Linked DNA regions of Coturnix japonica. Each later gene encodes a partner of the first gene's protein in a complex. Links are inferred from orthologs where the notes say so. Each region holds a gene or a part of one and is shown in the gene's direction. Other genes may lie near its edges.

Region 1 (3,979 bases):
GTATATATGTTTATATATGAGTTCCCATTCCCTGTTATACAGCTGTCCCTGATGCAGCAATATCCCAATTCCCACAGTGCTCCCCATTCCATCCTCACAGCTACAGGTGGGATCCATACACACAGATAACGGTGACTGAGTGCCACCCCATCACACAGCACGACCCTCCTCACCCCATTACCCCCCTCAACACATTATAAGGAGGGAACCCCCATTGCCACATATGGGGGATTCCCTTTACACAGGGTCCCCATAGCCCCCTATGGGGTTCCCCATCATTACACAGGCCGTCACCCCCATATTAACCCCCTCAACACATTATAAGGAGCTCCCATTGCCACATATGGGGGGTTCCCTTTACACAGGGTCCCCATAGCCCCCTATGGGGCTCCCCATCATTACACAGGCCATCACTCCCCCATTACCCCCCTCAACACATTATAAGGAGCTCCCATTGCCACATATTGGGGGGTTCCCTTTACACAGGGTCCGCCATAGCTCCCTATGGGCGTTCCACCATCATTACACAGCCTCACCCCCCATATTAACCCCCTCAACACATTATAAGGAGCTCCCATTGCCACATATGGGGGGTTCCCTTTGCACAGGGTCCCCATAGTTCCCTATGGGGTTCCCCATCATTACACAGGCCGTCACCCCCCATTACCCCCCTCAACACATTATAAGGAGGGAACCCCCATTGCCACATATGGGGGGTTCCCTTTGCACAGGGTCCCCATAGTTCCCTATGGGGTTCCCCATCATTACACAGGCCGTCACCCCATAGAGACGCCCCACGACCCCCCCTCACACCTCGGCCTACACCTCAGGCCTCCCCCCTGCCCCCACACGGGGGTCTCATCCCCCCCACACCCCCTTTAGGCCCCGGACCTGGACGAGCAGCTTGACGTAGAGCAGGGGGTGGCTGACGGCGGCGAGCCCAGCGCCCAGAGCCACGAACAGCCCCTCGGTACCGTCGGTTCGGCCCGGTCCGACCCCAGGCCCAGACCCGCCGCCAGGGGGCGCCAGCGCCACCGAGGGCAGCGGAGCTTCGCCCGCCATGGCCCCGCCGCCGCCACCACTGCGCATGCGCCGCCTCTTTGCGTATTGGTGGGCGGGATCTTAATGCGAGACAGCACTGGTGGGATCTGCGAGCAGTAGAGACGCGGTCCTCCCGCTTTCCTAGAGCGGCAAGTCTTCCAGCGTCCCTTGCGCGTTCCCGCCTTGCTCAGCGGCTTCCGGTGTTCTCTGCGACTTCCGGCGGAGCTTGTGGTGGCGGCGGGCAGGGAGTAGCCATGGCGTATCGAGGGCAGGGCCAGAAGGTGCAGAAGGTGATGGTGCAGCCCATCGTATCCTTGTCCGGAGGGGCAGGGGACGGGCCTGCGGGGCCTATGGAGCCTATGGGGCCTATGGGGCCTATGGGGCCTATGGGGCCTGTGGGGCCTATGGGGCCTATGGGGCCTGTGGGGTCTATGGGGCCTATGGGGTGTGTGGCCCTATGGGGGAATCTATGGGGCCTATGGGGTCTGTGGGGCCTTTGAGGCCTATGGGGCCTGCGGGGTCTCTGGGGCCGAGTGGGACCTTTGGGACCTATGGAGCCTGTGGGGCCTGTGGGGCCTGTGGGGCCTGTGGAGCCTATGGGGTCTATGGGGCCTGTGGGGCCTATGGGGTCTCTGGGGCCTGCAGGGCCTATGGAGCCTATGGGGTTTCTGGGGCCTGTGGGGTCTCTGGGGCCGAGTGGGACCTATGTAGCCTGTGGGGTCTATGGGGCCTATGGAGCCTATGGCGTCTCTGGGGCCGATGGCGAGTGGAGGGTAGGAGCGGCCCTGCAGGGCCTTGTGTCTCTCTGGAGTTGTTCCCGTCCTTAACGCTGCTCTACAGAACCTCATCTTCCGCTACCTGCAGAACGTGAGTACTGGGGCCGGGGCAGGGCTGGGTTCGCCTTTGGGTTTGTAACTTCTTGGCTGCTTTTGGAGCCCATCGGCTTCAAACGAAGAACTGGTGCTGTTTGGGAGCATAAGAGCTGGCTCAGAGATGAGCGTTCTCCCTTTGCATTAACACCTTTGTATGTTGATTGTGCCCCTGTGTGTGTAACACACACTCAATAACCCACACCTACAAGGTTCTGTGTTGGGAGTTGCTCTTTGGGGTGTTTCAGAGCTGCAGTGGCTGTTGGTTGCAAAGATTTCTCACCACATTACTAGCAAGGCTTTCTTAAATGCACAGAAGCAAAGACCAGCATTGCTTGAAGCATTTCTTTTCCAGTTTATTCACCCTGATTGTTTTGCAGAGGTCCAGGATCCAGGTGTGGCTTTATGAGCAGGTGAACATGCGGATAGAAGGCTGCATCATTGTGAGTACCAACATGTCCATGTGTTACCATTGGCTTTCCCACGTTCATGAGTCTGTGTGCTACCAACTGAGTGTTTTTGCCACTGATTTTCAGGGCTTCGATGAATATATGAACCTGGTGCTGGATGATGCAGAGGAGATTCACTCCAAAACAAAATCAAGGAAGCAGCTGGGTATGTCAACGTGTTATAGCATGAAAGGTGGTTGGGTGAGCCTTGCTGGTAGCAACACTTAAAGGTGGAAAGCACATGCCAGGTGTTGGTTTGGGAGAGCATTGGGCAGGTGCTGGCTCAGTCTTTGTTCCTGATGTTTGTTAAAGGTGATGATTTTGCTGAATGTAAAGGAGAATCTCCCTGTGCCTGAGACCAGTTGTTATCTTTTAAATGCTGTCTTTGTACAACTGAGGTGTCTGGAGGAGTCTGGTCCAAACTCCTTTGGGCTGTTTCTAAACTTGGTAGCCCTGAGCAATTCTCGTACCTGCTGGGTCAACTCTTGGCCAAAGCAGGAGCCACCTGACTGGTGGTATTTACTATTTACCGCTGCTGGAGAAGATAAAGCTGTCTGTGATGAGGGGATGCGTTGATTCGGATTGAGTTTATAGCAGGGACAGTGTTCTGCTGGGGCTGAGATGGTGTCTGAGAGTTGGGAGTGGATTATGAGTATGGACCCTGCCCTGCTATGCTTTCCATATGGGGCTGCCAGCAGGGATAGGACTCATTGCAACCCTCCCCCTCTATAATAGGGGCATCTTCTTGCAAGCATCTCCTGTTGTGGGATAATATGTGAAAACATGAGGTATTCTTGGATTCTGGGATCTCTCTAATCCCCCATTTCCTTTCTGTGTTGCAGGTCGGATCATGTTAAAAGGAGACAATATCACTCTTCTACAAAGTGTTTCTAACTAGAAATCGCTGTTCTTAGGGCAGTGATTGCAGTTCAGAATGGTTTGGAGTGAATGAAGAAGGTGCAGTGGGAGATCTACCCCTGCTGGTAGATAGAAAGTTACATGTAACTGGCATTGCATGCTGAGCTCAAAGTCCCCTCCTTTTGTAGGAGTGATTTTTTTTGTAGTCTGAAACAATAAGGGATGTATTTCCCAAATAAACATTTTTCACGTTGTCTGTAAACGGAAATCTGCATGGTTTTATTCTCAGCTTTCTATGCTTGGAGAAGGCAGAGAAATGTACATCAAGTGATTTGCTGTTGGTCCGATAAGTTCCTGATAGCTCTGTGCTTTTTGGGTAGTTACAACATGAGACAGGACAGGCTCTGGTGTCACTGTCAGGCTTGAGCATGCATGGCTCTAATTAAGTTTGTTAGAGGTTCTACGTGCAATTACCACCCTTTGTTGTCAAAACAGCTGGTTCCTTGGGTGCTTTCTGGTGGATCAGTGGGTTGGTGATGGATTTGAGGCTGTGATACAGTGATCCGACATCACAAACTATATTAATAGCTGTACTTTGGTAAAATATCATCATTAGATAGGGCAGCTGGTTGGGATTAAATCTATAATTTCTTCTTTGGGCAGCATCTCTGCATTAAATCCTAGTGCTGGGATGTCAGATGTGGCTGGATTTTATCACTATTATCCATGTAAGGATCTGTCCTATTTAAGTTTCCATAAGTG
Region 2 (4,262 bases), on another chromosome or scaffold:
CTCACTTGGCCACATCTTTGATATTTATACATATGCTAGGCTGGGATGAAACCTCACCTAGAACACATAAGCCTACTTCATTTTCAAATCACAGATGGTTAAAAGACTTGTTTTCCATGATGTTTTCATGTATTTTATATCCCCTCTGTCAGCAATTAACAGTTTTACATACAAAGATACTACTTTCTTGGATGACTGCTTAACTCTTTTAAGAATCACTGTAAGAGCACTGTCTGACACAGCTGGTGGGGTTGCACGACTAAGCTGACTTCAAATTGTATTCTACCACTCCTGACCCAGCTATGTTTTACTCCTCTAACCTGTTAAATTAGGATCCACACCCTCAATGGTCCTATTACAAACTGTAACTACAAAGAAATCTCCCAGATTTAATTTCTGCAGATTTAGTCATTCAATGAAATGCAATTGTTCTGACACTTTTCAACTTCACTTTTTATAGTTTACCAACTTTCAGTGAGTCACAATGGCTTCAGTTGGTGGGGGCCTCAAAGCCCACCCATTTCCAACCCCCTGCCATGAGCAGGGCTGGCCACCACCAGCTCAGGCTGCCCAGACCCCCATCCAACCTGGCCTTAACACCTCTGGGGATGGGGCACCACAGCTTCTCTGGGCAGCTGTGCCACTGCCTCATCAAGTTTTAGTAGTAATGAGCTGTTCCCAATTTTACATCTCAGTTCCTACACAAAGAACAAAGCAATACTCTGCAATAACGAAGGTCAGGCCTAGACTGCAAAGTGAATTTCGTGCCCACTCTGGTGTGCCCCAATTCCTACCAGCATGCAGTCAGTGATAGACTTGTGACTACAAATCACAACCCCATGGGCAAGAAGTGTCAGGGATGCTCAGCCCAGAGGGCTGCTGGCAGGTGCAGACAGAGTTAAGCTCTGCAACTCATGGAAAACAAGAATTCACCACCAGAAGTTGTAACTTCTTTCTCATCACATCATTTCAGTGACAGGCTTAGCATCCTCTCCACATCACTCGATAGGAATCTAAGAAAGAAACAAATCTTACCTTGTTAGACAGCGAGCTTCTCTTAGAAGACGGACTTGGCTTTAGGATTAAACACAAGGTTACGTTAAGGACGCTAACACAGACAGAACAAACACACAGCCACGTGAGGTGAGTGCCCAAAACCGAGAACCCATCCAGGAACAAGGCCGGTACGAGTGCGGTCAGGACGATGGAGACGAAGCAGAGCAGGTTGGCAGCCAGCAGCCTCCTCAGCTCTGCCTCCTTCATGGCGCCGTGCCGCCGGCCACCTGCAACACAGCGAGCGGCACTCGGTCAGCGGGACTCAGCCGCACCAGCGGGGCAATGAGGGCGTTCTGGGGGAGAAAAGGGCTTTTTAGTGGTAGATTAACGACCCTCACGCTCGCACAACGTCCTAGGTCAGGCTCGCCCCGCGGGGCGGCCTAACAACGTGCGGGGCCCACCTGGCCCGTACCCGGGACGCCGGCCGCCCGGCAACGGGATGGCGTCAGCTCCGGGGCGGGTCCGGAAGCGGCGGTTGTTGTGCTGGGCGGCCATGGTGTGCGAGAAGTGTGAGTAGGGTGGGATTGGGGGGATCCCGGCACTAAGCGGGGTCTGAGGGCAGCGCAATTCTAATCGTTTATTTCGTGGTGTTTCTTTCCGTAGGTGAGAGGAAGCTGGGCACCGTGATCACTCCTGATACGTGGAAGGATGGGGCGAGAAACACCACAGGTAGTGTCGGTCGCTGGGTGTTCCCTGCGGGTCGTCCGGAGGGTTCGGGGGGCAGCCCCAAAGCCTGCTGGAGTTACCGGGTTGGCCCTTCACTGCTGTAGTTTCCATTGAGTGCAGTGAAGGGTTGTTTACCTCGAGCTTTTTGGCGTTGAATTTGTCCATCTCATTGCAGCCTTCCGTATTTAAAATGGGATCATTACCGGGGGGGGGGGGGGGGGGGAGAATCAACTTTTTACTTGAATAGGTAATGATAGAATGAGAGGTAATGGTTTTAAGCTCAAAGAGGGAAGGTTTAGATGGATGTTAGGGGAAGCTCTTCACACAGAGTGGTGAGGTGCTGGGGAGACTGCCCAGAGAGGCTGTGGAGGTGGTGAAGACCAGGTTGGATGGAGCCCCAGGAAACTTGGTTTAGTACCAGATCTGGAGGTTGGTGGCCCTGCCTGTGGCAGGGTGCTGGAACTTAACCATCCCTGGGGGGTCCCTTCCAACCCAACACTTTCTATGTTTACATTATGATCTTTCCCCTCATGTGGAAGGATGATATGCAGGGCCTGCCCATGCTATGTGCTTCATGCTTCACTTTGCTCTGATCACACATGCCCACATGTGGCAGTTGGAAGCTGGACTGTGAAATGCATTGCCTTGTGGTTGTATTTTTTTTATAGAAAGCGGTGGCCGTAAGCTGAATGAAAACAAGGCGTTGACCTCAAAGAAAGCAAGGTTAGTATTTAATCCTCATTTCAGCTTAAAAAATAATTCAATTTTCTGTAACTGAGACCTTGCATTCTCACAAAGCAGGGTAATTCCTCAAAACTTGTCCAAAATACAACTTAATTTATTCATTTCTTTTAACATGTTAATCCTTGGTGGCAGTGTGTATTTATGTATTTCATTGGGGCTTTCTGTGGAATTACAGAGCATGGGCAGCTGTATTGCTGTGGGCATCCCTAAAATTGGTAGGAATTGCTGTTTGTGTTAAGAGAGGGGCTGAAAAGGCTGTTTGTCTCTGTTTGTTGCAGGAGAGTTGGACTAGATGACATTTAAAGGTCCCTTCCAACTCACATGATTCTGTGATCTTCCATGCTAACATTACCTGTTCAAACGCTTGAGCATCTCCTTAATGTCTAAAGGATATTCTGTTATGCCAGGGGCAAGCCATTGTTGAAATGTATTTTGACTTTGAAATAGGCTTGTATCTTAAGAACAATGTGTGGTTTTAGTTCATCATTTATTAATTTAATTTCTATAACACAAGAAACCTCTCTTAATGGAGAAAATGGGAGGTTTTTTGTAGAAATTCTGTAGTCTATTAGAGTTGACCTCTTTATGTCCCTGTTTTTGATTGCAGTTTTTGCTGGAGTTTTTGTCTATTTCCTCTCGCATAGCATTTTTAGTATGAGATGAAGGAATTACTTTATTTCACTGTGCATAAACAAAGTACTTCTCCATTTTTCCAGGTTTGATCCTTATGGAAAGAACAAATTTGCAATATGTCGAATTTGTAAGAGTTCTGTCCATCAGCCAGGGTCTCACTATTGCCAAGGATGTGCCTATAAAAAAGGTGAGTTTCACTGAGAACTTTATTACCCCGCTTTGATTTGGAATTAGAGACCAAGTAGAAGTCTTTGATTTTGTTCTGTGAGGAAAAGAGAAGGCTGTGATGAGATTCAGTTACTGTCTTCAGCTAATAATAGGAAGGTATAGAAGGTGCACTGAGCCCCCATCACAGTGCACAGTGATGGAGAAGAGTGCAGAATTCTTTAATTCCATGTGAATAAAATAATTTTCACCATGAGGGTGGTCAAACATTGTAATAACAGGGACTCAGAACCCTTATGAAATCTCTACTGGAGAATATAAAATTTTATCAGTCTTGTGAATTTCAGGGGGCAAGCAAAATGGCTCAAACTTGTAATCCATGGGGGGAAAATAGTGCAACATGAACTCGGTTACCTTCTTACTATTGAAGAATTCACTCAGCACGCAGACATGGGCTGGATGAATTGTTAGATGTAGAGTCACAGCTAACTGGTAGTGATTTTTGTTTATGGAATAATGTTAATTGTTCTACAACTTCACACTGTGTCACTGAGTACATGGTTTGGAAGTCTGCTAACGGAGGGCTGCCTCTGGGTCATTAGTCTTCTCTGTTTCAACTCTCAGCTATTCTTGGTGTCCATTATATTTCTCTCTCGCACACTGTAATTAACTTAATTCTGTGAAACTGTATTCTTCTCAGCTTTCTCAGTTGCCGGTTAATCTTTCATTTAGCAATCAGTTTCTTGGCGCCTGTATTTCCTTAACCTTGCTACTTTCTGTCCATCTCAGGCTACAGGAATTCTAAAGTTTAGTTATATGCTATTTTTACCCGTTTGCCAGTTGGGATCCTTTTCCTGGCTGGCCTCCAGTAGTTCAGCAAATTCGAGGCTTCAGGTGCTGCTGTGAATCATAATGCTCTTAAAATAGAGTTTATTTTTTAAGTGGAAGTGTTACATGTATATTGCAATTATTAATTTGTGTTAAAAATCATATTACTA
Region 3 (4,107 bases), on another chromosome or scaffold:
CCAATCAGAGAAGGATAAGTTGGAACTATGCAGTAGCTGCGGCTTTTATAACATAAGTTCAGTCCTGCTTGCTTTTCTGCATCACTGTATGTGCATCCTCCCTTGAAATCATCTCTTTTGAGGGTTAGTAACTGTTGACAGTCCTGAGGAGCCTCCCTGTGCCCCAGCCTCCCTCCTGCCCACCTGATGCTGTTTGCTTCCCCAGTCTGAGCAAAACCTGCCCACTGTGATACCGACTTGCACTTAGTGCGTTGGATGTTGGATGCCATCCTGGCCTTTATGCTGGCTGTATTTCAAGCTGTCCCAGTGTTAACACTAAACTTGTGTTGAGTGGTGCTTAGAGGGAGGTGAGGACTCTAATATTAGATTATTAGACTTGAGTAAATGAAGTTCACGTGTCAGCATATGTAGCATGCTTAGAATGTGATCGCTGTGTCTGTGAGTGCACCCTGATACTTTGTCTTTACATGTCTGTAGGAAGCACAGTGTATCCAGGCTGTGTTCATCCCTGAGCTTCTGTTATTTCCCCCAGTGCCTTCTCAGTTGGTCTGCAGCCCCAGCAGACCCAAAAGGACGGATAGTTTTGTTTACAGCAGACTGTCACTTTTGATTTTCCTCTTGCTCTTTGTGAAGGTAACTTATCTAGTAACGTATCAAAGATCTCCTGTATATAATTAACTAATAAAGCAGATGCATTTTACTGTGGCTGTGTGCTTTAAAAACAACCGTCAATGCTGCAGCTGTGCTGAGTGAAGGCTTTTACTTCCCCGTGCAACCAAAGGAGACCCAGGAGCTGGTGTCGGTTTGTAAAAAAGCCCATTTATTAAAACAGCCTCGTGTGGCTCCGTTCGGTACCGGGAGCAGCGGCACCGTCAGAACTCGAACGTGCCGAAGTGCGCGGCTCGGACCCCGGCCTTGTGCTGCGGTTTGTACCCGATGCGGTCGTTGATGAGCTGCTCCCGGCTCTTGTGCTCGGCTCCCAGCGCGATGCCCGCCGCCTCCTCGCCGCCCGCCACGTCCGCCTCGTCCCGCTGCTTCTTGCGGCTCTGCGGGGCGGGGGGGCCGAGTCAGGGCCCCGGTGCCCGGGACAACCCCCGACCCCTGCCGGTCCTTCCCCTTCCGTCCCCGCGCACCTCCAGGTCCTTCCGGACTCCCTCGAACTCCTCGATATCGTCCAGTTTCAGCTCCAACCTCGTTGGTTTCCGTCGCAGCATCGCTTCCGCCGCCTCCCGGCCCCTTCCGCTCTGTCACGCACCGCCCGCCCCTTCCGGTTTACCCGGTGTGACCCGCCGCTTCCTGTCCGTCACCGGAAGTGCTCCGTTAGGCCGTCGGGCAGCGCAGTGATGGCGGCCGTGCGGGCACCGGTGGCTCGAGGCGGGGCGCGGCCTGCGGCTGTGAGGGGCCCCGCACCGCCTGAGGTACGGGAGGAGATGGGAAGGAACGGAGCTGGGAGGGCTGTGACGGGTCGGGCTGTGACCGGTAGCGCTGCGGCTTTGGGGTGTTATCACAAGATCCTGTGGTTTCCGTGCCGTGTCCGTTATGAGGTCAGCTCTGCACTCAGCACACACGGATTCCTATCGGTTCTGTCTTTCCTTTGCAGCCCACGAAGAACAAACCGTCCGAGGATGGCGATGCTCCCCCCGCCAAGAGGGCGCCCATCTTCTATGGCAGCCTGGAGGAGAAGGAGCGGGAGCGGCTGGCCAAGGGGGAGCCCGGGCTGCTGGGGAAGGAGGGAATGAAGGCGGCCCTGGAGGCCGGGAACATCAACATCAGCAGCGGTGAGAGCACAGCAGCATGGGGTGGCCTTTATTTAGTGTAATCGAAAGTCACTCCAATAATATCTGAGCATACATTAGGTTTGATAAGGGGAGGCTTTTCCCTGGGTTGCCAGCTCTCTGTTGGGATCTTCCTGTTGGAGGAGGATCTCCTGTCCAGCTCCTGTGTCCAGGCTGATGGTTTTGCTTTGGTGCAGGTGAGGTCTTTGATCTGGAGGATCACATGAGTGAGCGACAGGCCGAAGTCTTGGCTGAGTTTGAGCGCAGGAAGCGAGCCCGGCAAATCAACGTCTCCACGGATGACTCTGAAGTGAAGGCCTGTCTGCGAGCCCTCGGGGAGCCCATCACGCTCTTTGGAGAAGGTCCCGCAGAGAGGAGGGAGAGGTGCTGTGTCTGCCCTTGTGTGTTGCAAAGAGGGAACGCTCAGCTTCCCCCACTTTATCATATTCCCACTGTTTTCCTTGTAGTTGGCGTGCAGCGAGTGCTGCCGGTCTGTGTTTGGTTACAACATAACAAGAAAGAATGGAACACAATGAGTGTTTGTCCACCAAGTGAACGTAACCTAACGTGTTTCCTTTCAGGTTAAGAAATATCCTCTCAGTGGTCGGCACAGATGCATTAAAAAAGACAAGGAAAGATGACGACAGGTCGAAAAAGTCTAAAGAAGAGGTAATGATTTCTCAGTGCCGGAGGAGATTTATACAGTCATCTTTGAATACCTTATTTTGGTGGTCTCTGAGACATTCAAGACCTGGTTGTGGTCAGGGTGCAAATTCTAAAATCATCCCTTTCTTTTTCTTTGTTGCCCATTTTAGCAGAACTGTCAATGCACTGTTTAAATCGGCAGCATTAAGCTTTTTTTTGGCTTTGTTCTTTTCCTTACAGTATCAACAGACTTGGTACCATGAAGGACCACGGAGTCTGAAAACAGCAAGGCTGTGGCTTGCTAACTACTCGCTTCCCAGGTAAGGAAAACTAACATCAATGAAGGGGAGAAGTGCAACATTTTGTAAACTCTTAACTACTAACCACATTGTGGGTAGTGTAGTAAATTTGAGATCAAAAGAATGAAGAACATGTTCCGGTAGACAAATCTGTTAGCCCAGTAATGGGGAAGTGAGGGTTTCTAGCAGCAAGGCATGGGAAATGTGAACATCTGGTACTTGATCTTTGTTCTTCACAGGGCAGCGAAGCGTCTGGAAGAAGCCCGGCTGCTCAAAGAGATTCCAGAGGCAACCAGGACATCGCAGAGACAAGAACTGCACAAATCCCTACGAGTAGGTTTGCCATCTGTTCAACTGCTGCTTGTGAACGTTTTTTCTTGAATTTCAAAGAGATCAGAAGGATCGAGCTGCCTGGAGGGGCTGTCCAGATGTGTGTAATTTGCTGTGCTGCGCCTTGAAGAGCTTTGCATTTTCTCTCTCTTCTAGTGGTACTCGTGTTCTAGCTCTGTTTCTGCAGTTGTACAGAGAAATCTGCTTTTGTTGTATTCTAGCACTGCAGAGGGATGCAGAGACACATCCCTGTGTTGATTTGCCTCTTACCTTTGAAGCTAAACAGATTGCTTCTTTTCAGTCAAAGCTTGAGTTGCAAAGCAGGGCATCAGTATGATTGGTGGCAAGTATGGTGGGTGGCATACTGAGTGCTAAGCTGAGCCATGGAGCTGTGCTAGTTTCTCTTAGTCAGATAAACTCCATAATCCTCCTGCTTGGGGCTAGAGTAGCTCTGAGGTAACATCTCTCTTTGGAAGTGATTTCCCTGTGGTCTCTGACTTCTGCTTCAGTCACTGGCCAGGACTGTCCCTAAGTCATTTGTATTTATTCATTGTTTTCTCTGTATTTTGTTGCAGTCCTTGAATAACTTCTGTAGTCAGATTGGGGACGATCGCCCGCTGTCCTACTGCCACTTCAGTCCCAATTCCAAACTCTTGGCTACTGCCTGTTGGTAAGTTCTCTTCAAAGCATTTACTTTAGGGCATGGTGTCCAGTCTTTTGGCTTGCCTGGTCCGCACTGAGTGTTTCGTCTCTATAAACATTCAGGAATGTCGATGAATGTCAGCAGGTGCCATTTTGTCCTCAAGGAGGAATTCAGTGACACACCTTTTGCTCCATGTGTGTTTCCATGTCAGATGCTGTTTTGTCAGACTGCCACTTTCCCACTGCAGAAGCCCTTGGTGTAGTTTGTTTGATAAGCTGTTTGATGTTCCTGTCTACACTGACTTCTGTTTCTTGTGTTCAACAGGAGTGGACTGTGCAAGCTGTGGTCTGTGCCTGACTGTAACCTTGTTCACACCTTACGAGGTAAAGAATGACTTTCACTGATATCCTGTGTA
Region 4 (3,595 bases), on another chromosome or scaffold:
CTCTTAAATGTGTTTAGAGCAAGTCTTCATGCTCCAATTTCTCTCATCCTCAAAGGGCTCTGCCTTCTGGAAAGGGTCAGCGTGGTTCAAGGAGTCCCTCCAATCTCTCAGATCATCGCTACCCAGATGAGAAGGGATCTCCCAAGAAGGTAAGGGGTTTGTCTTTCCGTCTGTGCTGAAGATTGCTTCCTCTGATAGCAATCATTAACAGTGTGATGGCTTACAGATGGTAGAGCAGATATATAGCTTGTAAATGCAGCTGTGCCACACTGTCAGTTTGCCATAAGACCACGTGTGAGGTAGATGGAAGATGAGCTCTGCATGAGCACTCTGTATTTCTGGAAGTCTGTGGAAGCTGTTTGCAAAGATGGCAGCAAAGTGGCTTTGTAACAGAGCTGCCTCTCGTGTAACTTCCCCTTATCATACCTGTGAGTCACTGGGCAGCTCTCAGCCAGCAGTAAATGTGATTCTTGTTTGATTTGCAGGCCAAGATGATGTCTGGGGTCAAAGCTGGTTTGGTGTCAGCTGACGTGCTGCGGAAAGAGCAGCAGGAGCTCAGGAAGCAGGAGAGAAGTAGCAAGCACTTGGAAGGTAAAAGTCTGAAACCAGTGCACAGACATCAGCTTTTAGTCTGCTTTTGGCTGCCTGTTAATGCTGTATCAGGGCATGTCTTAAAATGCTGGTAGTAAGGGTGTTGATGGAGAGTGTCTGTGTTGGCTGGCATCCAGGCATGCTGATGAATATACACAGGTAAAAGCCACTGGGTCTCTAAAATAGAAATTTATGAGTGGTGATTTCAAAGAGGTGCCAATGAGACAATTGTGAGGCTTTTGTGTCTCATCTGCCCCATCTGCTATTCCTGATCTGAAGGAGCAGGCTGTTACACCTATAGCTCATTGCATGAGCTATGGAGTGGTTTGGAAACTGAAATATTCCCACGTGAGTGACTCAGGATATCTGTTATCCCTAGAGGAATCCCGACACACGGAAACCATCTTCCGCGACAAGTCAGGCCGCAAGAGGGACCTTGTGCAGGAACGTCTTGAGCAGAAGCAGAAAGATGAAGCAAAGTTGTTGCATGATGAGCAATATGCCAGATGGGGAAAGGGGTAAGGTGTCTTGGTGACATGTCACTTTACAGGTTGCAGACTGGGGGTTGGCAATGAGTTTTGTGCCTGGGACCAGGTTATTTTGTGTGGGATTACCCTGTCTGTTGCTGGGTGCTTCTCAGGGATGCTACACACAGTAGATTCTGATCAATACTACAATTTGAGCAGATGGCAGTAAATTATTCCTTAGTTTTGAGGTGGTACTTTGTATGTGTTTTTAGATTAGCACAGGAAAGGCAGCAGCAGCAGAATGTGGAAGATGCAATAAAAGAAATGCAGAAACCATTGGCCCGTTACATTGACGATGAAGATCTGGATCGAATGCTGAGAGAACAAGAGAGAGAAGGAGACCCCATGGCTGAGTTCATCAAAAAAAGAAAAGCCAAAGAGAACAAGGAGAAGAAAGGTATGGAAAGCTGTGCTGGTGCAGGTTTTAATGCCCAAGGAGCATAGAAATGCAGCTGCTGTTCAGTGAACAGTGTGAGGTTGCTGTGGCAGCTGAGTCCTGAAGATTGCATTGTAGTAACCAATGTCTGTATTGCTGTTTTTGTCTCTAGAGAAACCTAGGTACAGTGGACCAGCACCTCCTCTCAACAGATTTAATATATGGCCTGGGTATCGCTGGGATGGGGTGGACAGGTAGGTATTCCTGATACACTGATGTCATTGAATGGTAGTAAAACTAAATGAGCTTTTGCCTCAGAGAGCTTACAGTGAGTGAGATGCAACTTATTCAACCTTAACACTTCTCATGGTTATGAATGGCTGGTAGGGACATGCTTGTCTGGGACAAAAGGGAGCCAGGTTCTGTTCTGATCTGTTGTGGCACTGCCTGCTGTTTGCCACAGCTCAGAGTGGAAACTCAGCTGGAGGTGTTGATGCAAAAGTAGTGGCAAACATGTGATGTCATTTAAAAGCTTTGTGGCTTTAGTAGATGTGCACGGTAGCCCATGGTCTTGTTGGTGTTATTTTGTAGGTCCAACGGATTTGAGCAGCAGTTCTTTGCCAGGATGGCCAATAAGAAGGCAGTTCAGGAGCTGGCATACAAGTGGAGCATTGAAGACATGTAGATAGAAGAAATAACCATGTGAAACAGCACGACTGAATTGAGATCTGCCTGCTACCACTGCCAGAGCCAAAAGTAACGGCTCCTCTGCCTGGACCAAGCACTGTTCTTGGCATTCAGTATCCCAGTGGATTGTCTTCTTGGAAGCAAGGCTGTGTTTAGAGGAGAGCTGCTGGAAAAGGATTTTCCTGCCAGCCAGAAAGGACCAGTGCCAAAAACTGGAGTGGCTGCTGCCCACAGAGGAACACTTCTGCTCCCTGGTGTTCCTTCATGAGGTGCTGCAGACACTGGTGTCTGACCCACTTATTTCTTTACTAATAAACTGTAGAAACTGTGTTGAAATGTTCTATGCCAAATGCTTTGTCCTCTGAAGGCAGTTGACAGGTCTTCAGATGTCCTAAATCTCAGGTTTATTTCATGGTGGAAGCATGCTGGGATTTAAGTCATGGAGGGTTAATCCTATCTGGTGTGTTGGCCTATTGCAGCACACGGTTGTGGTTTCAGCTATGGCTGAGTTCTTCCAGAGGGTGTTTTTTGCTCTGAAACAACTTAATACTGTGAGCTGATTTACCTGTGGGCTCATGTTATGTCTGCCCCATGTTCTCCATGTCCTTGCTAATGAGCCCAGAGAGCTTCTGCTTGTTCAATGTTGTGTAACTCTTAACCCTTCTGGTTCCTGGAGTCTTTGGCTTGCAGTGAAGTTAGCACAGCAGAGCTTCCTGTAGCCCTTATGGGAGCTGTGCCAGGTGGGTCAGTATGTGGCAAGAAGCTGCTTGCTGTACATATAACTCTAGTTCTCTACTAGAAATGGCTGAATGAACAACACGCCATGTTATATTTGACAGCAAAGTCTTCAGAAGCTCCAGCAGCTCCTTGGGGGTCAATTTCTTGTGGCAATAAACACGCAGAGGCCATTTAAACTGTTTCCCTTGGCCATTATTTTCTTCAGAGTAGCTAATGGTCATGGATTAGTCCCTACAGCTTTCTCTCTGGACAGCCTTGCTGATGGCTCTTAGCGCTGCTGCCTGGGGGCTCGCTTCAGCACGAAGCATAACCTCTCTCTTGTGATTAGATTTGTCCAGCTTGCAGCTGGAGGCCAAGCAGAGCGCTGCGCTCCATCCCTGATTGCAAGAAAGCATTTCTAACTAAAAACAACGGGTTGGTAACAGACATTGTATGGAAGGGTTACATAGCAACAGCATCGGAAGGTTGTGAGCCTGAGATGCTCTACCAATGAGTGTCACCACTGTACCTCACAACTGAACGCCACCGCTGCAAGAAGAAGCTCCCAAGCTGCTCCACCGGACCCTTTTGTTTAGAGAGCATGGATCTCTTTCTTTATTGTCTTAAGCTGTTTGTTTGGTCTGTTATCTGAGCTTCAGGTGGCAGTTTATTGATGAGCATCCAGATGAAGTGAAGC
Region 5 (3,985 bases), on another chromosome or scaffold:
ATGCAATCAGAAGGCACGCACTGCATCTAAGTCAGGACCACAAATATTACATGACACACTAATGGAAACCTCCCATGTGCTGCCAGCAGAAGGGGAGGGCTGAGGTTACACCGCACACAACAGCAACAGGGCTTTGTACAGCTCAATGGGATCTCAGTATCAACCTGAGCCTCCAAGCGGAACCAGCATCAATATCTCCCCATAATAACCCTCCTGAAGGCTCCCACAGGATCCTAATGCACTTGTTGTTTCTCCATATATAAGCTATAGATGTGAGAGCACCAAACAGGTGTTTCATTGGGATGGTTTCAATATGAATCACACCAGCTTTCCAGGTACCCCAATGTAACCAAAACCTCTCGTTCTGAACCCAACTGAGCTGCCCCCTCACTCATCCTCCACACCGACCCCCAGATCGATTCCTTGCATATCAGATGAGCAACTTTATGGGTAGCACCAAACCCAGCCTCAGCCACCCCACACCCAGCACAGGGTCCTGCCGGGCACACAGCACTGAGCCCACCCTGCAGACCTTCATGGGGTTGCAATGGGGTCTCAGTGCGACCATCAGGGGCAGATCCAGCACCATCAGCTCTGAATGTTTGAAGCAGAGACCACCCCCCAACCCCCCCGGGGCAAGAGATGGGACAAATACAGCGGGGACCGGGGGGGGGGGGTATAACCGGAGGGGTCTGTGACACGCCGCAGCCCCGTCGCGCCCCTCCCAATCCCCGTACACCCCCACCAGGACCCCGACACCCCCATGTGCCCCTCACCGCCCCCTCCCAATCCCGCATCCCCCCCGTTGAGATAATGGAATCAGAGCCCACCCTGCCGTCCCCTCCCCACCCCCCGGTCTCGTTCCATCCGCCCGTACCCGTTACCACCACCGCCCTCCGCGGTTTCTCCATCTCCGCTCCCGCACCGCACTGAGCGACCGGCCCCGCACGGTCATAGAGCGCGCTCCGCCCCGACGCCCAGAGCGGCCCCGCGCGGCCATAGAATACGCGCCGCCCCGAGGACCAGAGCGGCCCCGCGCGACCATAGAGTGCGCGCCGCCTCGCTGCCTAGAGCGCCTCCTGAGCGCCGCTCCGTGCCGCTTCCCGCTCGGCGTTTCAATTTACGGCACTGTCGTGACGCTGTGCACCGCCAACCTCGGCGATGCTTTACGGCCGAGGCGGGTCCTGCACGCTGATTGGCTCCGCGAGGACCGCGCCGAGCTCTGATTGGTCCCGTGTGGGGCCGGGGGTGGTTTGAGCGGCAGCGCCCGGCGCGGCGGCGGCTCCGCGGTTCCGGCACGATGGTGAGTGCGGGAATGGGCCGGGCCGGGCCGGTTCGGTTGTCCCGGTACTCCCTGAGCCCCTACATGGGGATCCGAGGCGGTCCCGGTTCCCGGTTGTTGAGGCCTTTCTCTCTTTCCCCCGCAGCTGCCCCTGTCGTTGCTGAAGACGGCGCAGAACCACCCTATGGTGAGTCCCGGCCCACTCCCGCTGCGGCCTATGGGCCCGGTGCCGCCCCGTCGGGTCCCGTTGGGTCCCCGTGCCGCCCCGTCGGTCCCGGTTCCTTCATGCTGACCCCCCCCCTTTGCTTCTTCCAGCTGGTGGAGCTGAAGAACGGCGAGACGTACAACGGGCACCTGGTGAGCTGCGACAACTGGATGAACATCAACCTGCGGGAGGTCATCTGCACCTCACGGGTAACCAGCTCAATGCCAGGACCCCCATTGCGCCCATAGACCCCCTACTTTGAACAGCATCAAAGCAGATCAGGAATGAGTTGTCCCCATTGCGCCCATAGACCCCCCCCATTGCGCCCATAGACCCCCCATTGCGCCCATAGACCCCACATTGCTATCAGCCCCCAGCCCTGCAGCTGAGTGGGACTCGCAGAGATCCTCACCCTTCTGTGTGTGTTGCTTTTGCTTTGAATGTGAATGTAACGCAGTTATGAGGTGTAAGAAACGAATGAGCCCATTGACAGCAGGGTGAAGGTGCTCAGTGTGAAGGGCTGGTGACAGGTCCTGTCCCATTGCCCGCTCCATGCAGCCCCATCGAGCACAGTGCTGCCTTTCATCATCACCTGCCTCACGCCCTGTAACTCCACATCAAAAGTTATTAGGGCCTCTTGTTTAACCGGGTTGTGCCTCGTCTGCTACTTTTGCCCATGGCCAAAGTGCTCCGAGAAGAGATTGGGATCTGTGCTTTGAGCTCTGACCTCAGCCTCAAGTGTCTGGTCTTGTCCCTGGCAGCCTGTGCCTGGCCACGTTCCTGCTGCTGCTGCTGCTCTCTGTGCCTGGGAACATCACGGGTCTGTGGGGGAGGCTGTCAGGGAAACCCTTCTTCTTCAGGAAGGGTTTCTGTGCCTGTTGGACCCACAGCAGGAAGGTATTGGCCAATAGTGCTGGGGCACGGAGATGTGATGTGTGTACTTAAACAAAGCAAAGGTTTAAGAAGGATCATAACAGCAGAGCAGTGAGCCCTAAAAATCTGGATCCACAGATTGTTGGGGCAGATAAACAGATAAGTTCAATGGGAAGGGGTGGCAAGTGGCAAAGCCTTACTAGTGCTTGCAGAACAAGGGATGCCGGCCTTTAATACTGCTTCCTCATTAAGCAGCTTTGTGTTGCTGTGGGCAGAGCACTTCAGCATTTATACCCACCGAGTGGTCTGCAGTTCACTCCCCACCCCTAAATACCCCCTGGGTGCTACTGGGGGGGTATATATGGAAGCCTTCCTGGTGGCACGGTGGGGATCAGCCACTAGATGGCATGGAGCTGCGGCAGCTGTTTACATGGGGAGCTGGAACGAGGAAGCCGGGGACCTGGCTCCATCCCTTCCTGCATAGAGAGCCAAAGTGCAGCCGGGCGGATCCAGGCAGGGTGGGGTTTGCTGGGTGCCTGTTTGAAGAAGGCTGCTTGTCTCACACACACGGAACTTGCCTGTGCATGCTGCATTGCCCCAAATAACACCGGAGCAGAGGAGGAGGGGGGTACAACTTGATTCTGGAGAGGTGAAACGAGGCATTCTGGTTTCACCCACTCCTCTGGGATGTTGTGGACACTCTGTCCATGTGTGATAGTTGTGAGGAGCCTGTGTTCAGCCAAGCCCTGCAGCAGAGCACGGCCGTGCGCACGAGGTTCCATCCCTCCTCCCGCTTACATCAGTTGTTGTTCAACTTTCACATGCAGTTCCTATTCCCACAGCCACAGGAGCTGAAGCCCTGATGGGCTGTGTCCTAGCAAAGCCCTGAAACTGCCTTAAACAAAACACAGAGGCAGCTGCTCCGTAACTTGGCACCCGAAGGTTTCTTTGAACGTGATCTGTAAGCTCTTATTTTCCACAGCCGCGGTTCCTGTGCGCTGCTGGGCTCACCCCACACCCAGCTGGATGCTCCTCGCTGCTCAATCCACACCACAAAGGGGTTCAGTTTGTAGGTGACTCTGGTTGGGGCTTTATGTGCTGGAACTGCCCCGTGTTGCAGCAGCTGTGTTGAACTTACCACATTTCCCTCTCCAGTCCCACTTTCGATTCTCTTCTTGTATGAGAAGCAAAGGGAAGGTGCTGTTTCCTCTTCTTCCTTCACTTTCTGTGAGAGTCAAAGGCGGTTGTGAACGGGCTGAAACTGCAGTGGCTCATGGCTGAACGCCCCCTGACTCCCCAGCAGGTTGTAGGGCTGCGTGTTTTAAAGGGAAAACAGGAATTTCACAGCTAATTATGGGTTGTACATTCAGAATAGACTATTACATCTGTCGCACGCTTCAGAAGTGATGGAGATATTCAAGTGTCAAAAAGCAACTTAAGTGCACGTGGTTTTGTTCTCAGCTTAACACGTTGCTTCCCAATAGGATGGTGACAAGTTCTGGAGGATGCCAGAGTGTTACATCCGTGGCAGCACAATTAAATACCTTCGGATCCCCGATGAGATAATTGACATGGTGAAAGAAGAGGTGGTCTCCAAAGGCAGAGGCCGTGGTGGGATGCAACAG
Region 6 (3,640 bases), on another chromosome or scaffold:
CCTTTTCCTACTGCTATGAAACATTCACCAGGAAGTTCATTTGAAATATTGCAAAACTGTGAACCTTATAAGACTCAGATAGTCTGCCAGGGTAAATCTTGGAAAACTTTAATTAAAAACAAAACAAACAACAAACAAACCCAAAAGGTCACGGCAAACTTACGTACTCTAAAACACCTCAGAACTGCAAAATCACTCAAATGAAGAGTTTGGCAAAATTTGCAGACCCAGTCAGTAACTGCAAGAAAAGAAACACACCCACCAGAACCTGAAATTGACCAAATTCTAACTCTGTTGAGATATCAATGGGCACCACTGTCATTAGACTACCCCTAAGGCTGTTAATACCACAGCTATGCTCAGGCAGCCTGTGCAACATGGACAAAATATGGCCCACATCACCCGCACAAACAGCCTGAGCCAGCACTGCTGCCAAGAGATGGTTGTGTACGACCAGGAAAACTTCCTGCAGCATTGCAGCACACGGTGATGATCAGATGCACTCAGTCATGTAAGCAGCACGAGCACAGCCTGCAGCCCTTACAGAACATCTCTGCAGACCACAGACCTGGGAATGTTACCAAACTCTATGGGACAGCTCAAATTAAATGCACAATGTTCCTCACATCCGTTAACCAGCCTGGATTAGACTCAAAACAAGATAGAATCTAGAAGCAGCAGAGCACGCAGCTCGCAGTGAGGTGAGCAGCAGCGCTGCAGTGTGACCCGCAGGGTGCAGCTCTCGGGGATGCACCACCCGACCAGCACGGGCTGTTCCTAAACGCTGCTCGCAGTGAAATCACTGCAGGGGACAAAGTTCCCATTGGTTTTGTGCTTGCAAAATCCTACTGACTGCCCACACACACACACGGTACCTGGGAACTCAGCGCTGCATTTTCCTCCTCCAATGCAACGCGCTCCTCCCCTTATTGCTCAGTCCCACTGTCCTCAAACACTTCTGTCGGTTTGCTTCTCCTTGTTTGCTTTCTCTTCTCTGCCCTTCTCACACCAGCCCCGCTCTGGTCCATATTAGTAATGACAGATGTCGCTTCAAGTGCACTAACACAGTTACAGGCACGAGAAGCACACGCGGGGGTGTAAATTCTGAGGCCTGGGGGGCAAGCAACCAGGTGGCAGGGAAAGGTGAAGAACTGTGCAGAACAAAGGGGGGAAACGATAAAAACACGTGTTTGCCAGATACAGAGTGCAGCAGTGATATGTGCCTTCACTTATTGACGCACATGAGCTGCCCACAGCCCGCCCCGCACGCGGAGCGCAGCCAGCAGCCGCACCGCCCACAACATGGCGGCCGGGGAGTAACGCCCACAACATGGCGGCCGCCGGTGTCCGGAGCGCCCCGTTGTGCCCCGTGCCGGCGGCGCGGTCCAGCTGATCGGCTGGTTCTGGTTCTCAGCTCGGGATGGAGCTGGGCAGGTTGGAGTACCTGCAGGCCCTCGTCACGGAGTTCCAGGTGACAGACAGCCCAGGTAACCCCGCGTACAAAAGCGAAATCTCCATCTACCACAGCCCCCCTTGCCCCGTTTGACGCGTTGCTTCCCCGGCAGAGGCCAGGCGGCAGGTGCTGGCCAACCTGGCCAACTTCGCCTACGACCCCAAGAACTACGAGTATCTGCGGCAGCTCCAGGTGCTGGACCTGTTCCTCGACATGCTGACGGAGGACGACGAGACCCTGGTGGAATTCGCTATGGGTGAGCACAGCGCTGGGTGCGCCCCGATGCTTTCCCTGTTTCTCTAAAACACAGGTAACAAACCGGGGAAAATGAAAATAAACGCTGCAGCCACACGGCGCCATAAATGCCATCACTGCACTGAGATGGACAGGAGAAAATAAAAGGCAACGTAGGGCAATTAAAAACCCATCATTTAATTCCTGGTACCTTGAAGACCGATTGCCCCCTTACCACACAGGGAAACTGTCTGTGCATGTTGCCTTAAGAAAAGTAGTAAAGATGGAGTGTCCGTCTGCGGACAACTCAGTGCCGGCACCACACAGGTCAGGGCCCAACTGCTGGTACCAACAGACGGAACGTGCTCCAGCTGCTGCCATTCATTCCCAGATGAGGTGCCCTTCAGAGCATGGAGTGTGTCCGGATGAGGCTGCAGAAAGAATCTGTCTTGCATGTGTCAGATGCTTTTTTCGCTATTTCAGGTGGTCTTTGCAACCTGTGCTTGGATAAAACTAACAAAGACTATATCCTGGAGGCCAATGGGGTAGAGCCCATAATAAACTGCCTCTCCAGCTCCAACGAAGAGACAGTCATGTCAGCAGTCACAGCCCTGATGTATCTGACAACGCCGCAGTCGTGCCAGCAGACCACAGCTCTCCCGGTGGTGGAATGCATGCTTCGCTTCTCCCTGTCGGCCAGCAGAAGGCTGAGCAATCTGGCCACGATCTTCCTGGAGGATTATTGCACGCCCCTGCAGGTGGAAGAGGCCAGGAACCTGAGCAAACACACAGCGGTGGGGATTCCTCTCCCGAAGGATTGAAGCTGTCAGAGCAGCTTGGAGCTGCTGCGAGGAGCACCCCCTGTTTGCTCAGGTCTGCACCTAATGCTGAGTAGGTCAAGAGTGTGATGAGAACAGTAAAGCAGGAAATCAGACTAGCATTGGATTTTAGTTAGTATTGAAAAGGACCATACAGCACTATAACAGGCCAAGAACGTGGCTGAAAATGGAAGCAAATATTTTAAATAAAAAAGGTGATGGCTGCTGTGCAGCTCTGAACCAGCTTACAGGTATAACCCTTATAGCAGTTACTTTCTCTGCTCGGGTTATTGTTCAGCTTGTATCACTTCCAGTTCCTGGCTGATTTTGCCACAGCTTTCCAGTGTCAACTCAGATGACTTTGAAATGACCCAAACTTCATCCCTCCTGCAGAAGAAATGCGTTTCCCTGCCCTGGTAATTTGCAATCCTATTACATACCTTTGGTACTATACATACTGTCTTATCATCCTGCCCTAGAACAGGTGATAGCTATCCCATAGGTCAGGAAGCAGAAAGCTGTATTTCCCTCATTACCACTGGTGAGAAAGGTGCAGGTAGGAAAAGGGTTTATGGCATTCAGGTTCACAAGAAAAGCCTTTTCTTAATAAAACATTAACGGAGCTGTTGTGTAAACAGTTCTGTGTAAGCTCGTAAATGTTCCTGTACAGCTCTTGCAGCGCAGCCTCTGCTGCTCCCACTAATGCACGTGGGCTGGGAGTTGGAGCCACTTTGCTCTCCTTTTATGATCAGCCAATCGTGCAAAAGGTAACCTGGAGCCAGGGCGGCAAACTGCCCAAAGGCATAGAACGGGGTGGCCCTTTACCACGGTGCTTCTGAAAGGCTGCGAGTTCCAGAGTTCTGCTTTCTCCCCCTCCACTCAGCTCAAAACACGCCATAGTGAGCTTACACCACAGCTGGCTGTTTGTCTTTATAGTTATTCTTCATAACATCACTGCGGCTCCGGCCGCACCAGGACGAGGCACCGTGAGGTGAACCCCGCAACCCCCGCATGAAGCCGAGCGGCCCCTGGCGGCACCACGGCCCCGAGTGGAACCTCCGGCCACAAGCGGGTGGAACTGCCGGCCTGGCCTTAGTGCGGGGCCAGGCGGCTCCGCTGTGCGCTGCGGGAACCT
Region 7 (3,100 bases), on another chromosome or scaffold:
CAACGCTACTGTTTATTATCACGTTGTGCTAAATATAAAGCAAGCTGGCTGATGAGCCCAGTAAGACCCATTTCTCTTCCCTTTTAAGTTGAAATTGAGTGAAGCAGAGAACAAATCTATTAGTTCAGTCAAAAAGTTCGGGGAGTTCCCTCATCTGTTCCCAGCTAAAACACGCTAATTCGCTGCCAGCTGAAGTTTTATCCATAGTCTGGTTTAGTGTTTTGTAAAGTTGCTCCCTGTTTTTGTACATGCTATTCTGTAACAGAATTCAAAATAATTACCAATTACAAATACTAACATTAAATGTTAGTAAGTTCTAACTTAGAAAAAAAAGGTGTTTGTGATGTTTCTGCATTTTCCAACTTGACTTTTTTCAGGTGGGCTTTCCTCCTCTGCTAAGCATTGTAAGCAGAATGAATCAGGTAAGCCTACATCTTAAGCCTTCCTCTTAGAACAGCATAGTGATATTGCAAAAGTCAGTACTTCCTGTGTTCCAGCAGTTGCATAAATCTCAGCTATTTTTCTGTGCTAAGGTGATAGTTTATTTCAGCTGCTATTCAGTGTACACTTACAAGGAAAAAATATTATCTCACCTTTAACTACAGTTATACCAGCAAACATTTACTGTAACTAGATGTAAGTGTATTTTCTCATAATTTCTTTATAGAAATCTCTAATGTTTGAGTGCATCTTTTAGGGGCTTACAGTGTTTAAGTTAAGTTAAATTTAAGTTAAAGTTACATATAATCTCACCCTGAACTGAACGCCATATAGAATTACAGCCAAGTAGAAACATATAATGTTTCTGTATTTAAAGACAAAAATCACATTTGCTCTTTACATAATATAATCCTTTGGGCAGAAGGACAGCAAAACAAAACTCTGTAGATATCGCATTGTGTCTTTATATTTCTCTTTCGAAGGCCACAGTAACCAGTGTCTTAGAATACCTGATAAGCTGGTTTGGAGAGAAAAAATTTACTCCGGAACTGGTAATTCTTAATTTTGTTCTAACTACTTGCATGTGAGCACATGAAACAAGGGATACATTATACTCTCTTCTCTGTGAAATTACTGTAGTTTCCAAATAGTTTTCTAGATCCGTGCACTGTATTCAGTTGTTCTCAAAACTCACCTGACTAGATACTACATTGAACATACGCAGAACTTTCTGAAAGGGTAATTACAAAACAACAGATACAGATCTTTCAGGTACTGCTAAAACTCCTCTGTTTCATTTGTTCCCCACAATAACTTAATCTGCAAGGTCGAAAGAGAGGTGGGGAGAAAAGAGGTTCCCATCATGTTATGATGTGGAAAACCAGTAACCAAAAATCATAAAACCGTGACATCAGGTTAAGTTGTCAGTGTGTAAAACTTCAAGGAAATGCCCATAATTAAAAACTCACTATTTAAATCCACACAGGGTAGATGGTTTTATGCGCTGTTGGCGTGCCTTGAAAAACCTTTGCTACCTGAAGCTCACTCCCTCATTCGACAGCTGGCAAGGCGATGCTCAGAAGTGAGAGTACTAGAGGTAAGATTTAATTTAATGTTCTGCAAAGGACTGTTTTAACTTCACTAATTATCAAGAAAGTGATTTTTCAGCTCTTAAATTCTTGGCATGTTATTTTTCACATTTGAAGTCTGCTAGAAAATGAGAGGAAGACTACAACATATAACATGGCAGGTAACATTTCCCTAGTGGATGTGGTTAACAGAGGAACTGTTCTGGTATTTATTTCTCTTTCAGGAAAACAAGAACGAAGAGCAAGTGTCAGCTCTGAACCTGTTAATCTGCCTAGTTAGCAGGTAATGCAGACTACAGATATAAAATAGCAGAGCATGTCCAGAATAAGCGTGATTATCCTTGTGCTAACATAGATTCCTTTAAAGTGAAAGTCAGTCCAAGCAGTCTGGATATATGTAGCAGACATACTTAGTTACAAGGACTCCAGACAAACTTAAGACTAAAACAGAGGAGACACACTAGTTTTCTTTGGTGATCTCCCTCAATCGTGAAGCTATAAATATGATAGAAATACTAAATTAAAGCCTGGAAAGCAGATAGTTTAACAACTCAGATCAAAGTAAGGAGTGTGTTGCATTAGAGTCTTCTTACTGTATTCCATTTCTCTCCCCTAGGTACTTTGATCAACGTGATTTAGCTGATGAGCCCTCCTAGACTTTTTTGAGAAAACCATTTTGTGTTGCCATAGTACAACCAGCATACAGGTCTGAAGCATGCAGTGTCTTCCTGTGAAGTACAATACAACTTCTTCAGAGCACCCTCAACATAGTAATATATTTGGAACAGCTGTGAATAACGTAAGCTGATCTTTAGCATGAGGGTACTACTCTTCAGTATCCTCATCATAAAATGGTCCATGAATCATCTCTCGTTATCCCTCAAACAACTGTTGTAGTGTAGTAGATTGTTCATTATAAATTTTTACCATCTGAGTAATCCTGTGGATGCTGCCATTAGGTAAAGACTTCTAAGTTTAAGCAGATGTCACAGACGACTGTTCGTTACCTAACACACAACCCTTGAGGTCTTTTTTTAATAAAACTGAAACATACCTTAAAGTGTTCTTAAACATTGTGGCTATTCTCAGTCTTCATAGTACTTAACAACTGCCTTCAGAACTTCAGAAGCCTACACAACTGGGATCCAATGTGTTTTTTTCAGGATATAGTTCCTGAACTTAAATACTACTAATGAAGTACAACTATAGCCAGTGAATTACTGATACAATTATGTTACAAAAACATAAAGGGAGGTAGTACATAGATTTCCTGAGTAATAGTTTGCTGCTTTACAGTGGAAAGTAGCAGAAGCCAGGGGAAAAGGCACAGCTGTACTCAGTACTCTTCAACAGAAGCATCTATTAAACACAATGGACAAACTTATTTTCTGTATGGAATCTTGACAAATACATTAGCTCACCTACTTGACTTAACATATTGAACAGGGAGTGCTTTGCCAAGAATATTGGTGTCTGCTTCATACATACATGATTCTGTTGGGTCCTAATTATCTTCAACAATTGAAAATCCAATTTAAAGGAACTCTCATTTCTGCTGGTAACAGCAGACT

Evidence for each region.
Region 2: SNRPE (region 1) and CRIPT share a complex: the UniProt entries of both Homo sapiens proteins name them as parts of the minor spliceosome. The link is inferred for Coturnix japonica from reciprocal best matches to the Homo sapiens genes SNRPE and CRIPT.
Region 3: SNRPE (region 1) and PRPF4 share a complex: the UniProt entries of both Homo sapiens proteins name them as parts of the U4/U6-U5 tri-snRNP complex. The link is inferred for Coturnix japonica from reciprocal best matches to the Homo sapiens genes SNRPE and PRPF4.
Region 4: SNRPE (region 1) and BUD13 share a complex: the UniProt entries of both Homo sapiens proteins name them as parts of the minor spliceosome. The link is inferred for Coturnix japonica from reciprocal best matches to the Homo sapiens genes SNRPE and BUD13.
Region 5: SNRPE (region 1) and LSM4 share a complex: the UniProt entries of both Homo sapiens proteins name them as parts of the U4/U6-U5 tri-snRNP complex. The link is inferred for Coturnix japonica from reciprocal best matches to the Homo sapiens genes SNRPE and LSM4.
Region 6: SNRPE (region 1) and ARMC7 share a complex: the UniProt entries of both Homo sapiens proteins name them as parts of the minor spliceosome. The link is inferred for Coturnix japonica from reciprocal best matches to the Homo sapiens genes SNRPE and ARMC7.
Region 7: SNRPE (region 1) and GEMIN2 share a complex: the UniProt entries of both Homo sapiens proteins name them as parts of the SMN-Sm complex. The link is inferred for Coturnix japonica from reciprocal best matches to the Homo sapiens genes SNRPE and GEMIN2.

Annotation. Positions count from the first base shown.
Region 1 is NC_029541.1:2,016,117-2,020,095, forward strand, and holds SNRPE (small nuclear ribonucleoprotein E), read left to right. Parts: upstream 1-1,189; 5' UTR 1,190-1,295; coding exon 1,296-1,349; intron 1,350-1,881; coding exon 1,882-1,908; intron 1,909-2,290; coding exon 2,291-2,353; intron 2,354-2,446; coding exon 2,447-2,525; intron 2,526-3,201; coding exon 3,202-3,257; 3' UTR 3,258-3,479; downstream 3,480-3,979. Other genes in the region: MTCH1 (mitochondrial carrier homolog 1), read right to left, coding at 892-1,089. UniProt on the Homo sapiens protein: Plays a role in pre-mRNA splicing as a core component of the spliceosomal U1, U2, U4 and U5 small nuclear ribonucleoproteins (snRNPs), the building blocks of the spliceosome.
Region 2 is NC_029518.1:23,889,933-23,894,194, forward strand, and holds the start of CRIPT (cysteine-rich PDZ-binding protein), read left to right. Parts: upstream 1-1,462; 5' UTR 1,463-1,495; coding exon 1,496-1,565; intron 1,566-1,659; coding exon 1,660-1,725; intron 1,726-2,390; coding exon 2,391-2,445; intron 2,446-3,182; coding exon 3,183-3,286; intron 3,287-4,262. Other genes in the region: PIGF (phosphatidylinositol-glycan biosynthesis class F protein), read right to left, coding at 1,036-1,263. UniProt on the Homo sapiens protein: As a component of the minor spliceosome, involved in the splicing of U12-type introns in pre-mRNAs. Involved in the cytoskeletal anchoring of DLG4 in excitatory synapses.
Region 3 is NC_029532.1:813,639-817,745, reverse strand, and holds the start of PRPF4 (U4/U6 small nuclear ribonucleoprotein Prp4), read left to right. Parts: upstream 1-1,307; 5' UTR 1,308-1,343; coding exon 1,344-1,418; intron 1,419-1,600; coding exon 1,601-1,778; intron 1,779-1,972; coding exon 1,973-2,159; intron 2,160-2,356; coding exon 2,357-2,444; intron 2,445-2,660; coding exon 2,661-2,740; intron 2,741-2,958; coding exon 2,959-3,052; intron 3,053-3,624; coding exon 3,625-3,719; intron 3,720-4,016; coding exon 4,017-4,075; intron 4,076-4,107. Other genes in the region: anaphase-promoting complex subunit CDC26, read right to left, coding at 873-1,046, 1,134-1,214. UniProt on the Homo sapiens protein: Plays a role in pre-mRNA splicing as component of the U4/U6-U5 tri-snRNP complex that is involved in spliceosome assembly, and as component of the precatalytic spliceosome (spliceosome B complex).
Region 4 is NC_029539.1:4,398,579-4,402,173, reverse strand, and holds the end of BUD13 (BUD13 homolog), read left to right. Parts: intron 1-55; coding exon 56-149; intron 150-485; coding exon 486-591; intron 592-970; coding exon 971-1,109; intron 1,110-1,330; coding exon 1,331-1,515; intron 1,516-1,666; coding exon 1,667-1,748; intron 1,749-2,085; coding exon 2,086-2,179; 3' UTR 2,180-3,095; downstream 3,096-3,595. UniProt on the Homo sapiens protein: Involved in pre-mRNA splicing as component of the activated spliceosome. As a component of the minor spliceosome, involved in the splicing of U12-type introns in pre-mRNAs.
Region 5 is NC_029543.1:3,006,002-3,009,986, forward strand, and holds the start of LSM4 (U6 snRNA-associated Sm-like protein LSm4), read left to right. Parts: upstream 1-1,185; 5' UTR 1,186-1,300; coding exon 1,301-1,303; intron 1,304-1,427; coding exon 1,428-1,469; intron 1,470-1,597; coding exon 1,598-1,696; intron 1,697-3,844; coding exon 3,845-3,985. Other genes in the region: PGPEP1 (pyroglutamyl-peptidase 1), read right to left, coding at 878-911. UniProt on the Homo sapiens protein: Plays a role in pre-mRNA splicing as component of the U4/U6-U5 tri-snRNP complex that is involved in spliceosome assembly, and as component of the precatalytic spliceosome (spliceosome B complex).
Region 6 is NC_029533.1:9,330,758-9,334,397, forward strand, and holds ARMC7 (armadillo repeat-containing protein 7), read left to right. Parts: upstream 1-1,297; 5' UTR 1,298-1,420; coding exon 1,421-1,487; intron 1,488-1,565; coding exon 1,566-1,709; intron 1,710-2,170; coding exon 2,171-2,508; 3' UTR 2,509-3,140; downstream 3,141-3,640. UniProt on the Homo sapiens protein: As a component of the minor spliceosome, involved in the splicing of U12-type introns in pre-mRNAs.
Region 7 is NC_029520.1:34,106,523-34,109,622, forward strand, and holds the end of GEMIN2 (gem-associated protein 2), read left to right. Parts: intron 1-377; coding exon 378-422; intron 423-923; coding exon 924-992; intron 993-1,426; coding exon 1,427-1,537; intron 1,538-1,701; exon of another isoform or gene 1,702-1,753; coding exon 1,754-1,812; exon of another isoform or gene 1,813-2,145; coding exon 2,146-2,185; 3' UTR 2,186-2,600; downstream 2,601-3,100. UniProt on the Homo sapiens protein: The SMN complex catalyzes the assembly of small nuclear ribonucleoproteins (snRNPs), the building blocks of the spliceosome, and thereby plays an important role in the splicing of cellular pre-mRNAs.